2 linked regions of the Arabidopsis thaliana genome follow. The protein of the gene in region 1 interacts with the protein of each later gene in a pairwise test. Each region holds a gene or a part of one and is shown on either strand. Other genes may lie near its edges.

Region 1 (7,104 bases):
GTACCAATGATCACATGGCCGTTGTTCGCTGAACAATTTCTCAATGAGAAACTCATCGTGGAGGTTTTGAACATCGGGGTTAGGGTTGGGGTGGAGATTCCGGTGAGATGGGGAGACGAGGAGAGACTTGGAGTGTTGGTCAAGAAACCGAGTGTTGTGAAAGCTATAAAGCTTTTGATGGACCAAGATTGTCAACGTGTAGACGAAAATGATGATGATAATGAATTCGTGAGACGAAGGAGACGTATTCAAGAACTTGCAGTAATGGCGAAAAAGGCTGTGGAAGAAAAGGGATCTTCGAGTATTAACGTTTCAATTTTAATCCAAGATGTTTTGGAGCAATTGAGTCTCGTGTAGAAAAATCGAATGTAGAAGTTGACATAAGATTTATAAGAATAACACCAAACGATTTTTCTTTTTGCCAAAGAAGAAAAATTCATATAGATATAATGTGCATAATATGTATACTTTCGAACTCTTCTCTTAGCCTAATGAGTGATTTAGAAATACTCTTGAAATCATCACTTAAAGAGTCTTTTTTCCTTTTTCTCGAAAGATGAAACTTATATATATGGAAAATGCCTTTTAAGGATGCACTTAGAATATAGACTTTAGATTATTACATCTTGATGAAAATATTAATGTCTTCACTAGATATCTCAACTCAATTAACAAAGAGGTCTTTTGATTCATTATTTTGAAGCTTTTAGAAATATGAGAAGAAAAATGCTTGAATATTACTTCTGAAACTCTAAGATGGTGTAGAAGTAATCAATGTAGAAAGGTCGAAAAGTAGGGAATCCCGCGGAGAGACCAAGCTCTATAAACTCTTCTTCGGTTCTATGCTTACCTTTGGTTCTATAGATGGTCATGACAAAGATGTCACCTTCTAACAAGGCACGAGTCCGGTGACTTTCATCGGTTTCCTTAGGCAAGACCGGCTCACACGCAATCAGCTTTCCTCCAACTGGTAACGCGTTGTAGCAATTCTTCATTATCTGCTTGCATTCTTCATCCGTCCATGTCGTTAACACCCACTTTACACTCAAACAACAATATTACAAGATATTAATTTGGGACCAGAGAAGCAAAAAATGTGTGTATTTGTTTGTGTTGTTCTTTCAACAAACATGAGATCCCTATCCATGGTCTAACAGATCACAAGTTTTTGGTTTGAGAAATGTATAATCAATATTTAAATGATCATAAATAAATGAAAGTGACCAGTCGCATGATCTAACGATAACTAAGACTATATACTACCAAACATATTGTCCGAAGCGACTTATAAATTTATACCTATATCACTAAACATTAAAACTATATACAGAAACTAGAATTCGTCCTATTAGCAAAAATGTTAGTAGGTGTATTCTCGTGACAGACAATAATGTTACAACAAACCTTCATGAAGATAGCGTCAGCGCTAGGAACTGATTGGAACATATCCCCACCCACGTGAGTCACTCCTAAACCATACAATATATCATCCATTATTACTCCGTACATTACTAAAAATAGCTTTTTACTTTCAGAAAATAACGTACGTACAATATATCATAAATACAAAATCTCACCAGGAATATTGGGGGCTTTGGCAACAACTTCAGGTAAATCGAAATTAATCCCTTCACGGACGTTAGGAAATTGTTGAAGGATCATACGCAGACAATCCCCTGCACTACCTCCTACGTCAACCAAAATATCCACTGATTTAAACCCATCGTAGCCGTCTAATATAGCTTTCATGAACGGTACAGATACGCCAGACATTGCCTTTTGCATTAGACCATTCATCTCCTCACTTTTCCCATACTGAGCGTATGCCGCCTCGCCGTTTGCTTTCACGTACGGCTCTGTCTCCGGCTCCACCACTGCCGTGTGAACTAGTGGCCATGCTCGCATCAACGCCTCCTGTAATATATATCATTTTCACAACAAGTTTTAGACATTAGTTTATTATACCATCATTAGTCCTTTAATATATCACTCCAATTTTGGAAAATGAAAATGAGTCATAAACCTGGTGATGTTGGAGGACGTAGGCAGCGTAAGAGAGGCCGCCGGAGTCGGTTACAAGAGTTTTTCCGACGTCCGTAAGAGAGTATTTCCTCTCAATGGATCCAACAAGGTGTTCGGAGAAGACACCGTAGCTGGTGAGCATCCGAAGTATACGCTGAAGATTCTCGGGGTCGCCACCAATGGTAGTGTGAGATGGTAGGTGGAGGCGAGGGAGGATCTCGGCGGCAGAGAGAGGAGAATTGGCTCCGCCGTTCCAAATGGCGTCGGCAATGCCTAGTCGCACGGCGGCATTGAGAGACATGGGAACGCTAATCATGTTAGCAAGCTCCATAATGGCAAGACGAGCTCTGTTTCTACTCTCTGAGCTTTCGTTCTCCATTTTTTTTAATCTTCCTCGTACGTGAAAGTGAAACTACACATCGCTATAGAACCCACTAGTATTGGTTTTATATGGTTTTATATGGTTTTTAAGGTTAATGTTACGTGTGGTCCATATGGAATGGGATGGTTTTAGACCTTAGTCTATTATTTAGAAATTCAAAAAAAAATAAAATTTTGATTTTCGTAATTACTGAAAAATGGAGAACAAACACAAGCTGTATGAAAGTTTGATTTGAAATGATAACACAATTACCAAACTTTAATGGTACTAGCATCTCACTGTTCAAAATTCACATTTCCGATGGTACAACTATTTTCCATAATTCATTTTTTTGTGGTTATTTCTCAAGAGTACTATGAAACAAGTCCATTCACACCAATCAATTATCATGAAAACATAAATTCTGGTTTTTACCTTTGGCTCACCTTCATATACAATCCCTGAAATTGAAAATATCAGCATTAGAGAAATTGGAATCATTCTAAACAAAACAGACACTCTCATTAATCTCTCGAGTGTGAGAACATTGGCATACATTGGTGGTGTGTATGGTTGCTCCTGTGGTCATGCTAATGGTCTGATCAGGAACCAGCTCAACGTTTAACCGCTGAAGAAACACCGCGAGTGCCACAATTGCCTCCATCAATGCAAACTGATCGCCTACACATTTTCTAGGCCCTCCACTGAATGGGATGAATCTGGTGAAAAAAGAAAATCATCTTTTAAATTCCCTAATCAAAACCACTAATCTTGATTCAGTAGTTTGTGTCAAAAGATGTGTTCTACTGAGTTTACTTGAAATCAGTGTTTGTTTCGTTAGGGATTGCGCCATCTATGTCGAATCGTTCAGGCAGAAATTCCTCAGCTTTTTCCCATACCTTTGGAATAACAAACAACAAACACATAAGAAATGTGGGCATGAATGTAATACTAGGAATGTCCACTCCGGTTAGATATCCGAACCACACAAAGATCATTGAAGAGAAGGATTAGGCTCCCCTATGTTATACTATGGACGAGAGAAGGAAGAGAACTGTACCTCGGAAGAACGATGGATGTTATAGACTGAAATCATAATGTCTTGTCCGGTATTGACCTTATAGTTCCCAGGAAGAATGTCAGGAACTTGAGCTCTTCTTATCAAGACCTACCAGGAAACAAATCAATCAGAAAATTTAGTTCATGAATAATTAGAGAGATGAGCTTGATTGCTTACAGGAGGATGAGGATAGAGACGCATTGACTCGTTTATACAACGAGTGATGTACTTCAACTCCTTTATATCCTCGAAAGCCGGGTTTCTTCCTTCTAACACTCTGTCTACTTCTTCTTGTGCTTTCCTTAATGCAGATGAGTTCTATGAACATAGAGAATTTGAAGAGGTAAATGAGAACAGAGAAGCTCCCATCCAAGTAAATTCTCTAGCATAGCAAAGTAGAAGATACATTAAGGTACCTTACTTAGGAGATAAAGTGTCCAAGTGAGGACAGATCCAGTGGTTTCATGACCCGCTACGAGCATTGAGAGAAGATCATCCCGTAACTGCACACTTGATACCTGAAAACCCTCACAATGCAACATCAGCTTCGATTATGCGATAATGAAAGGCCAAATTTGCTTATAAACTTAAGGAAAAAAGTTTAAACCTCTTCTCTGCTTGCAAGCAAGAAACGCAGGATACTTGGGTCAGCATCATTTACATACTCCTCATCATTGATTCTTTCGCCTTCTCTTTCGACAATTTCTTTACACTTAGCAATAAGGTCTTCAACAGTTTCCCTTATCAAAGTTACAGCCTTTTCAGCTTTCACCTGTCTCGGGACTATCTTACACAATGCATCGATCTGAAAAAAACAACCAAACCCTCTCAATTAACAAGAATCCAATTGTTCCACACAATCAACAAACCACAGAAAAAACACAGGAAACTTGCCTTCCAATATGGCAGAAGATCAGTAGAACGAAGCTCAGCTTCTTTAAGAGCAGTGTAAACAGCTTCAATGACAGGACTATCAGTAGTCAAAGAATCGAAATTGTAGTTAAAAAGAGACAACCCAATGACATCAAGTGTCATCTGAGAGAACTTCGCTTCCATATTCACAGCACTTCCGTCTTCTGCATAAGGCTGCAACTTCTCAACAAGCCTCTCTGCACATTTGCAGAATACTCTCTCCACAATCACAGACAAATACCTCCTGTGAAGCGATGGAACCACCGCTCTACGCCTCGCCTATGTAAAAAATCAGACTTCAGCTAAGCCCAATAGAGAAGATTGGAATCTAAACCCTAAAATTAGAGTTACTTATCATACAAGACAGTCACACATTACTTCCACAATTCCAAAAACTTCAAAATTGAGATAGGAGGAGATGAAATTACTGTCCAAAGAGGTCCTTCAGCGATAGCGAAACCCGAACCAAATAGAAATTCAGAGACTTCAGCGACTAAGCCTTTAGCGTACTTTGGATAATTCCTCAAAACATGTTTAGCTATCGCTGGGTCGCTCACAATTACGAAATTACGAGGACCAGCAGCGAGACGGTAAATGGGTCCGTACTCATTCATCCATTTGTAGAGAGGTAAGAAGAGAGCACCTCCGAGGAGATCAGCGACATCGTCGAGCTTCGCGTTCGCGATTGGTATACCTGACTCGTCGTTTTTTCCTGAGGAAAGGGTACGAGTGAGTGTTGTGAGCCAATCGGGACTGACCCATGATTGGGATTTCGATGAATTGGTCTCGAGTTTGGGTTTGGGTTTCTCAATGGAGGATCTGATGGAGAATGTGAATTTGGGTTTTGGTGATAAAAGACGCGTAGGTTTTGCAGTGAAGAGAGAAGAGTAAGAAGAGGAAGATGGAGAAAAGAGTGAAGACTCCATTGATGACCTCTTTTCGAAGCTTCCGTGCAGAAATATTTGACTCTGTGTAGAAACGCGAACCGTTACGCGTGGATAAGGACGACGATGCATAAAACGACTACGTTTTGTTAATCAAAACTTAATATGGGCCTCCTCGTATTTGGGCCTTTTAAAAGCAAGTAGCAAAATCTGAAACGAAACAGAGAAGATCGAATTTTCTTTGAAACTCTGTAAACTCTGTTTCTGTAAAGTTGTTAAATTTTGTCGATCTGGTAGGAAGAAGAAGTACAAGAGAACAAGAAAAAGTCAATTCCTTTCGTTAGTCGGCGAATTCTAGAAACGATGTTCAATTTCTGGTATGATTTTGCGAATTTTTTGCCATCTGATTCATATGTTATTGATGAAATTGCGTGATCCAGACATTAGGTCTGTTAGCGATTAAGGAAATCTTGTTGTTGTGTAGTTTGTTGAGCTATAATGATATATTTGAGGTTTTTGAGGTGAATTGACAAGTGTAGATTTTGCTCAGCTACTGATTTAGGGTTCATAGTTACTGATATTAGGTTTACAATGATGTGCTGTATAAATGCACCTTTCAAGTTTATGAGGTGATGTATTATATTAACTTGGAAGCTGAGATAGTTAGTTGATGATGTTTCTTTTTTTTGTTGTGTACGTGAAGGGGATCAAAAGACCAACAACAAGGGCAATCTCGTCCTCAGGAAGCTTCTTCACAGTCGCCATGGTACTCGCCTTCTTTAGTTAGCTCGCCAAGCTCATCCCGGCCTCAAAGTTCAGGTCAGATTTCAGCACAAGTATCACCGGGTGAAGCAGCTGGCATTATCGTCTTCTTGAAAGACAAAAGGTTTGCTCTTTTTGTTTGTTTGTTTGTTATCCTTCTCTCGAGTGTGCGTTTTTTTTGTATGTCTTCTTTTTGAATAGTGTATACTTTTCTGTAGCGTGGATGAACTCAGGAAGCTTCTCTCTGACAAAGATGCGTATCAGCAATTTCTGCTCTCTCTTGACCAGGTCAAAGTCCAGAATAATGTAAGTCTCTAAAACAGTCAGTTGTTTCTGGATAGCTAAGAGTATTACTATTAATTGTAGTCCTAAGAATGGAGCTTCGTTAGTTATGTGTTGATATTATTCATTGGTGCTCTTTCAAGTATATACATTGATATTGTTTGAGGAAGCCTTTATCATGGCGTCATCTTCTACATGTTGCCAGTAATTAGAGCTTTCTGGTTCTTTGTTATAGTCTCTAAAACAGTCGGTTGTTTCTGGATAACCGAGGGTCTTATCTGTAGCTCTAAGAATATGTAGCTTCTTTAGTTCTGTGTTGATATAATTCATTAGTGCTCTTTCAAGTCTATACATTGATATTGTTTGATAAAGCCTGTATCATGTCATCAGCTTTCTGGTTCCTTGTTATAGTCTCTGGACGTTAATTTTTTCGTGATTTGTTTCTGTCCGTCAGATCAAAGATGAGCTCCGTAGAGAAACATTGCAGCTAGCTAGTAAGTACTCTATGGTTCATGTAATTCTACAGGAAACTTTAGTTCAATCCAGAAATCTAGAACTTTCCATTTGATCAAATGTAACAGGAGACAACTTGGAGAAGGAGCCACAGATAATGGAGCTCAGAAACCAAGTGTGTATCAAGAACCAACTTTTCTTGTTCAGTTTTACCATGTTATACCTTTTCGATATCTCTGATTTACCAGTCTTTACTTATTTTACAGTGCAGAATTATCCGTACAACTGAGCTCGCAACTGCGCAAGAAAAGCTTAATGAGCTTGAGAGGCAAAAAGAAGAGATCCTCAAATTCTACTCCCCTGGTTCT
Region 2 (6,745 bases), about 19 Mb from region 1:
CTTTGCAAAGGAAGCAGGGAGCAAAACCATGGTAAGAGAACTAAGTTTTCTCTCTAAGTCTAATTGTGGATCGTCAGGACTGCTTTGTAACTAATGCGATAAGTGAGCCAAGAAGGGGGCTATATATGATTGATAACGGTGATCTTTCGTAACACACTAATGGCTATAAGCTCTAATTTCCATTCTTCAAATGAAACCGTTAGCCTCAACGAACGGATGTTTCACAAATGTTGAGCCAATGGATGGATATACTCGTCTTTATTATCGAGCAATACGCTTGGCGTTAACTATTCATGGAAGTAGCATGTAGTAGCGAGAGTCGCTCTATTTGATACTAGATACATAGAAGAACCTTTCACATCGCTGTCTTTCAAGAAGGATGAAGATGCCAACTCAACCAAAGCAAGCCAGACCACTACCGAAGAAGATCGACAATCATGAATCAAGACCCAATGATGTACCATTCAAACCCAAATGGGTGGAATTGCTTTCTTATGGGGATTATACTGATAGCATTGTCGGTCTTCTAAGTTAATATTGGGCTCATAGCCCGAGTTTTTTTATTCGCATATATTATTGGGCCCATAGCCCAAGTTTCTCAAAATGGAAATGTCAATCAAACAAAAAGGATCGGCAGTTTAAACATACTAAAAATCGAAAAAGAAAGAAAAACTCCCACAAAACTTTAGTATAAAACAATTTACAAGTGGGAGAAACAAATTAGCTACAAACAATTCTTTCTCATTTTATGGTTTTCTGCTTACTGAGAGAGATCAACCTTCCTATGGCTTCCCCTTTCAAATGTCCTTTTTACCCTCGAGAGAACCCATAGGAAATTCAACCTCTCTTTCTTCTTCTAACAACTACTACGTACACATACAAGTTTACAACTGAGAGAACTTTTTTTAAAGAAAGAATAATAATCAAATCCTGCGGAGGGAGGTGCTAACACGACGGAGGTTGTAGCTGCTTCAACCGTCTTACAACTTGCTTCATCGTCGGCCTCGTCGACAGAGAATCCACCGTACAAACAACCGCTAAATGCAGAACCTCTACTAGATCATCATGCGGACCTGCGTCCCACAATCCCGCTGTGAAAAACTCCTTTGCCCTTCCTTGTCTCAACAACATACAAGCCCATTGCACTATGTTGAAACCATTACCATACGACACAAATGACGGATCAAGTGCTTTCTTGTCCGAAAGCAGCTCTAGAAGCACCACTCCGTAGCTGTATACATCTGCTTTGTCTGATACCCTGCATGTCATTGCGTACTCGGGAGCTACATACCCAAACGTACCCGCCACACCAGTTGTTGCGTGCGTTTCCGATGTCCCAAGCAATCTCGCTAACCCGAAATCTGATAAATACGCATTGCAGTCATCATCTAGGAGGATGTTACTCGGTTTAACATCTCGGTGAAGCACCCGTGGGACGCATTGGTCGTGGAGGTAAGCGAGTGCTCGAGCTATGTCCAGAGCGATCTTATGAAGAACTCTCCAATCTCTTGTGGATCTTTCTTGGATGAATTTCTCGAGGTTGCCTCCTGGGAGATAGTTGTACACCAAGAACATCTCAGTTTCGCTAGCGTGGTAACCGATGAGAGTCACGAGGTTCGGGTGTCGAAGTCTACCAAGAGTTTTGATTTCTGCGTGGAACTGTTGGACTCCCTGAAACCGTCCGATCGAGAGGCGTTTGATTGCGACAACCACATCTTGAGAGATTTCTGCTTTGTAGGTCGCTCCAAATCCACCATTTCCAATCAGATTGCTTGCGTTGAAGTTTCCTGTGGCTCTAACCACGTTGTCAAAGGTTATTGGAACTCCGATATCCATGAACATAGTGACTTCTCGTTTTGTAGTGGCCATGATCTTCGATTTCGGATGCCATTTCCTTGTGTAGAAGAAGAGAATTACAAGAGCAATTAGTACCGAGACAATCGCTGAAGCTGATGCGATTGAGGCGATCTCTAGCGAGTTGAATCCACCCTTTCCTGGCGACTGAGATGGAGCGTTTTCAACAGGCGAAGATGCGTAATCCTGCGTGATAGAATCACCCGTGGAGTCTCGGGAATCCGAAGACGGTGTTGTCAGAGAAAACACATGGCAAGGTCGAAGATAGGGGTTTCCACTAACAGTGCTGCATTTCGTCAGTCCATTGGTTGAAGGAACTGGACCAGACAGATTGTTGGAGGAAACATTGAAAACAGCAAATGTCGCAAAACCCGACGGGATTGGGCCAGAGAGGTTGTTATTGTTGAGAAGCAGGACAGTGAGATTCTTCAAGTTTACGAAATCATGAGGAATACCGCCAGATAGATGATTTGAAGAGAGATCAAGAACATCCAAGGAATGTAACTGACCAAAGCTCTGAGGAATTTGCCCCGTGAGGTTGTTATTCGCAATCGAAAGATATGTCAAAGCTGCCATCTTCTTCCCGAGGCTACCCGGTATCTGACCTTGCAACTGATTCCAGCTCAGATTAAGAGCAACAAGTGAAGCTAGATCCCCGAGACTTGTTGGGATTGGCCCGAAGATCTGATTCACCGAGGCATCAAGAATCTTAAGAGAAGTGCACATGTTGTTTAGTCCCTGAGGAATCCGACCTGAGAGCTTGTTGAAGCTTACATTGACATAAACAGCTTTGAGTTCGTCGCAGTTATCAAACAGATTTCCCGGAAATTGCCCGTACAACCGATTCCCTCCAGCAGAAAATATGTAAGAGACTCGCTTTCCCAACCGCTCCTGTGCAAGTGGTATAGACTTGAGAGTACCAGTGAAGTTGTTGTCTGCAAAATTATGAAACACGGCCGGACCTCCATCACTTCCAAGATCTATCAGGGAAGTTCCAACTTGAGCCTTCTCGGTAAAGAAGGAGAGATAAACAGACGACGGGTCGCTGTAAGATTCAATAGAAAACCTGTCAAAGTAAACAACAGGAGGACAATGGCTTGTGGTATTGTTGAGAAAATCAGGGATTACACCCGATAAGCTGTTTCCACCAACATCAAAAACACTCATGCATGGGACCGAAATCTCTTTGAGAAGCTCCCCAGTAAGCCTATTCGAGCTCAAATCAAGAAGACGAAGGTTCTTGCATTTACTAAGACCGACAGGAATTTCGCCTTTAAAGAAGTTCTGACCCAAATTAACCATCTCCAAGTTTTGACATGAACCCCAATCTCCTGGAAATCTACCTTCTAACGTAGCTCTGGGCACCCAAAGTATCTTTAGTTTCGGAAGCCTAGTGATTTCCTCCGGGATTCCTCCTTGATAGAAATTGAAATCCTCGGTCATCGAGGTTAAATCAGCGCCTGGAGGAAGATCAGCTTCCCCTCTTACACTATTAATGTCTTCATACACATTGTACAGATTTGATAGAACGAGAACAGACAACGAAGAGCAATTTCCAAGTTCAACAGGTAATGGACCACTAAGAGTGTTCCTAGAAACATCCAAAACCTCAAGCTTCTGAAGACTCCCAAATTCTAAAGGGATAGTCTCCTCCAACGTATTCATATACAACAACAACGACCTTAAACCAGCACATTTCCCCAAACTCTCTGGAATCCTCCCAGTCAAGAAATTACCAGACAAATCTAAATGCTCAAGCTTTCCACAGCTATCCCCAATATCTTTAGGCAAAGAGCCTTGAAGCCAGTTTAACGGCAAATGCAACACTCTGAATCTCCCAACAAAACCAGGAACAGTTCCATTCAACTTATTACCACCCAAATTCAAAATCTCCAACTTTGTCAGATTCTGCAGCGAATTAGGGATTTCACCTGAAACTCTGTTAAACCCCAAATTCATAACCCGCAAATTCCGTAACCCAGTAAACTGATCCGGCAATGACCCCGTCATCAAATTCCCTTCCAGATCAAGAACTTCAAGCTTCTCCATTCCCCAGATTCCTACAGGAATCTCTCCACTAAACGAATTAAAAGGCAGAGACAAAACCCTAAGTCCTGTGAGACTCATGATTACAGAAGGCAAATTCCCCGCCAAAGCTCCATGATTTCCGGTACAATCCCTCCGAACACCAAACCCATACAACGGAAACTTACCAATATCACCACAAGTGAAACGATTTCGACTAATTTCAGAACTTCCAGAGCCACTAATGTTAAGAGCCATGACTCGAGAGCTCGAATCGCAAGATACACCAAACCAGGAGCAGTAATCTTCACTCTCTTCGACCCAGCTAGCTAGAATCGAACCAGGGTCCGATACCGTTTTCTTAAACCGAAGCAACACGGATTTGTCCGAATCAGCTAAAACAGTGATTTTTCCGGCGAGACAGGAGGCGAAACAGAGTAAGCAGAGCGAGAAGACAACGTCTGAAGGCATCTGTCTGCGGAAAAAACGCCATTTGATCACTGAAGAAGGCAAAGAAGTCATCTTCGTAACTTATCCCCAAAAATGTTTTTACAACAAAACCCTAAACCCACCTCGCAAGGTCTGCTAATATAGCAATTGACGAGCAAAAGATCCTTCCTTTTACCGTGCGAAACAATCCCAAGCTCGACCCTTTAACCCTAATTTAGGGAGATGATGAGAAGCTTTGTAGTGAGAGAAACTGATGAAGCAGAGAGAGAAAGAGATGAGAGAATTCAACACTGTCACTGAGGAAGACGCGTTTTTTTCTTCTCTCTCTCTTTTTTTTTTTTTTTGATAAAAGATCTTAAAAATGTTTTTAATTTAATTTATGCAGAAAAAAATAAAAAATCGTTCTGTGAATGAGAGAGTGGGTCCACTTTCCTTATTTCCTATTGGCTAACAAACTCTTTAGTGTAATTTTAACTTGGAAGAAGCAATTTTTGATTATTTATCGATCATGTAGTGAAGTTAACATTAAAAGTTTTTAACATCGATCATTGTAGTCTCACCACATCAAATCGCAATAGGTACATGATTGATAACAGTAGGTAGATGCAAGATTATCTTATCACTAAATTTGAGGACAGATTATTTTAAATTTTTTGTTTATTCGAAGTGATGAAATAAAATATGTTGAGTCACAATAAATGTAACAATATTTCAACTCTCCTAGACGTATCAATCTCTCATCGACCAATGTTATGCTAAGATCTTGAAGCTAACATTTATTACAGATAGATATATGTATATGGACATGCATTATATTAGGAAAATTTCATAATCTCACGCTAAAAGAAAAATCGCCTGCCACTATACATAAATGCATGTGACAAAGATGTGTTTCTTTATAACAAAAATATTGAGAAATTGTAAAGTGAAAAAGGGACAGAATCGCCTCTTTTCAAGGATATAACTAAAGGAAGCTTCAAGATAAAGCAAATTAAAATGTTTTTTCTTAAATATAAATTTATAATTTTGTCATGTACACAACACATTAGCCACATTTATGGGGATAAAAAGACTGAGTTTATAACCTTTTCAATTAGAAGAAAAAAAGGTTTGTTTTTCTTTTAGTGAAATATATCTGTCTTTTAGCTACTACTTATAATAATGATACGTATTGAAATAAAGTAATAATGAAATGTGGTCCTTGTATGTATGCATCACCATGACATAAGAGTTATATCATCCATCAACCGGTTTACAACATCCGGTAACCGAAATTAATCGAACCAAAATATGGTGTTAATCCTGAAAACCAGAACTCGGTTTGGATCATCACTCTTGGTTTACAACTATTTTCATCCGTACAATTTACACATAAGAAGAGGAATCGCTTCAAACGCAAACGCTAAAAGTCTCCTCTACTTGAATGAACCGCATTTTGAAGGACAATGGAAGCAAGAGAACCAGCAGGTTCTTGAAGCTTTTAGCGATTGCGTTCGAGACTCGAATTTTTTTGATGCCTTCCTTTGTGGTTGTGGTTCCGGCTGAGACTCAGTTAGCATATTAGATTCTGAATAAGGTTGTAGTTGTTGTTGTGGCTGTAGCATTCGCGATTGAGGCAGCTGATACTCGGGTCTTCGCTTGTGGGAAACGTTTCCTTTGATTTGCATAGACGGCGTTTTGGTAACTGCATCTTCTTTTTGCAATCTGTTACATAAATTCCAAAGAAAGTAAAATTAGGGTTTTAAAGTTTCTTCTTGCTCAAGAAATCATCAAAAATGGATCGATAAATTGAGATTTTGAAGAGAACGACTTACAGTGGGAATGCGAAAGAACCAATGCTGTTATTGCTAGTGTCCGAACGACAAGAAATGCTCGGAGAATGTGAAACTATACTGTTCGAGTCTTCAGGTTTATTCTCCTTCACAGTTTCTATTACTTCTTTCTCTACTAAAGCCTCCGCTTCGATCATATCTGTTTGTTCTTCTTCATGTTCGTCGTCGCTCTCGACTTCACTCATCTTCTCTTCTTCTTCATTATCCTCAATATCTGAGTTTGAGTTCTCCACCTGGTATGGTTCCTTCTCTGCAATCGTCTCTTTCTCATATTCATTTGGTTTCTTAACCGGAGGTGGAAGAGGAACCGAGTTGATTTCGGTTATCACGTGAACCGTTTCTTCAAATCTCGGTATCTCAGCCAATCTCAACGCTGTTGAAATGCTAAAATTCCCATCGTGGATGCTAAACAAAGATTCATTAGAAGCTAGACTCCATTCCGTCGAATTACCCGGTTTACTAGAGAAAACTGAGGATGGAATTCTGGTTGGATCGTAACCGGGTAAATCAATAAGATGGTTCTGGTGATTTGAGGACCAAGAGGAACTGGTATATGAGCTAACAGATGAATTATAAGCCTGATG

The links.
Region 2: the proteins of LUT1 (region 1) and RPK2 interact in a protein complementation assay, tested with the Arabidopsis thaliana proteins (one large-scale study listed by BioGRID).

Annotation. Positions count from the first base shown.
Region 1 is NC_003074.8:19,690,989-19,698,092, reverse strand, and holds LUT1 (Cytochrome P450 superfamily protein), read right to left. Parts: upstream 5,337-7,104; 5' UTR 5,282-5,336; coding exon 4,784-5,281; intron 4,635-4,783; coding exon 4,338-4,634; intron 4,249-4,337; coding exon 4,051-4,248; intron 3,962-4,050; coding exon 3,860-3,961; intron 3,762-3,859; coding exon 3,621-3,761; intron 3,552-3,620; coding exon 3,444-3,551; intron 3,283-3,443; coding exon 3,200-3,282; intron 3,103-3,199; coding exon 2,940-3,102; intron 2,845-2,939; coding exon 2,815-2,844; 3' UTR 2,402-2,814; coding exon of another isoform or gene 2,024-2,401; intron 1,915-2,023; coding exon of another isoform or gene 1,578-1,914; intron 1,470-1,577; coding exon of another isoform or gene 1,405-1,469; intron 1,038-1,404; coding exon of another isoform or gene 738-1,037; 3' UTR 551-737; downstream 1-550. Other genes in the region: UGT73D1 (UDP-glucosyl transferase 73D1), read left to right, coding at 1-357; AT3G53140 (O-methyltransferase family protein), read right to left, coding at 738-1,037, 1,405-1,469, 1,578-1,914, 2,024-2,401; VPS37-1 (Modifier of rudimentary (Mod(r)) protein), read left to right, coding at 5,603-5,616, 5,943-6,125, 6,220-6,307, 6,738-6,777, 6,865-6,911, 7,003-7,104. UniProt on the Arabidopsis thaliana protein: Heme-containing cytochrome P450 involved in the biosynthesis of xanthophylls. Specific for epsilon- and beta-ring hydroxylation of alpha-carotene. Has only a low activity toward the beta-rings of beta-carotene.
Region 2 is NC_003074.8:378,382-385,126, reverse strand, and holds RPK2 (receptor-like protein kinase 2), read right to left. Parts: upstream 4,778-6,745; 5' UTR 4,402-4,777; coding exon 946-4,401; 3' UTR 545-945; downstream 1-544. Other genes in the region: AT3G02125 (pinin-like protein), read right to left, coding at 5,745-6,033, 6,144-6,745.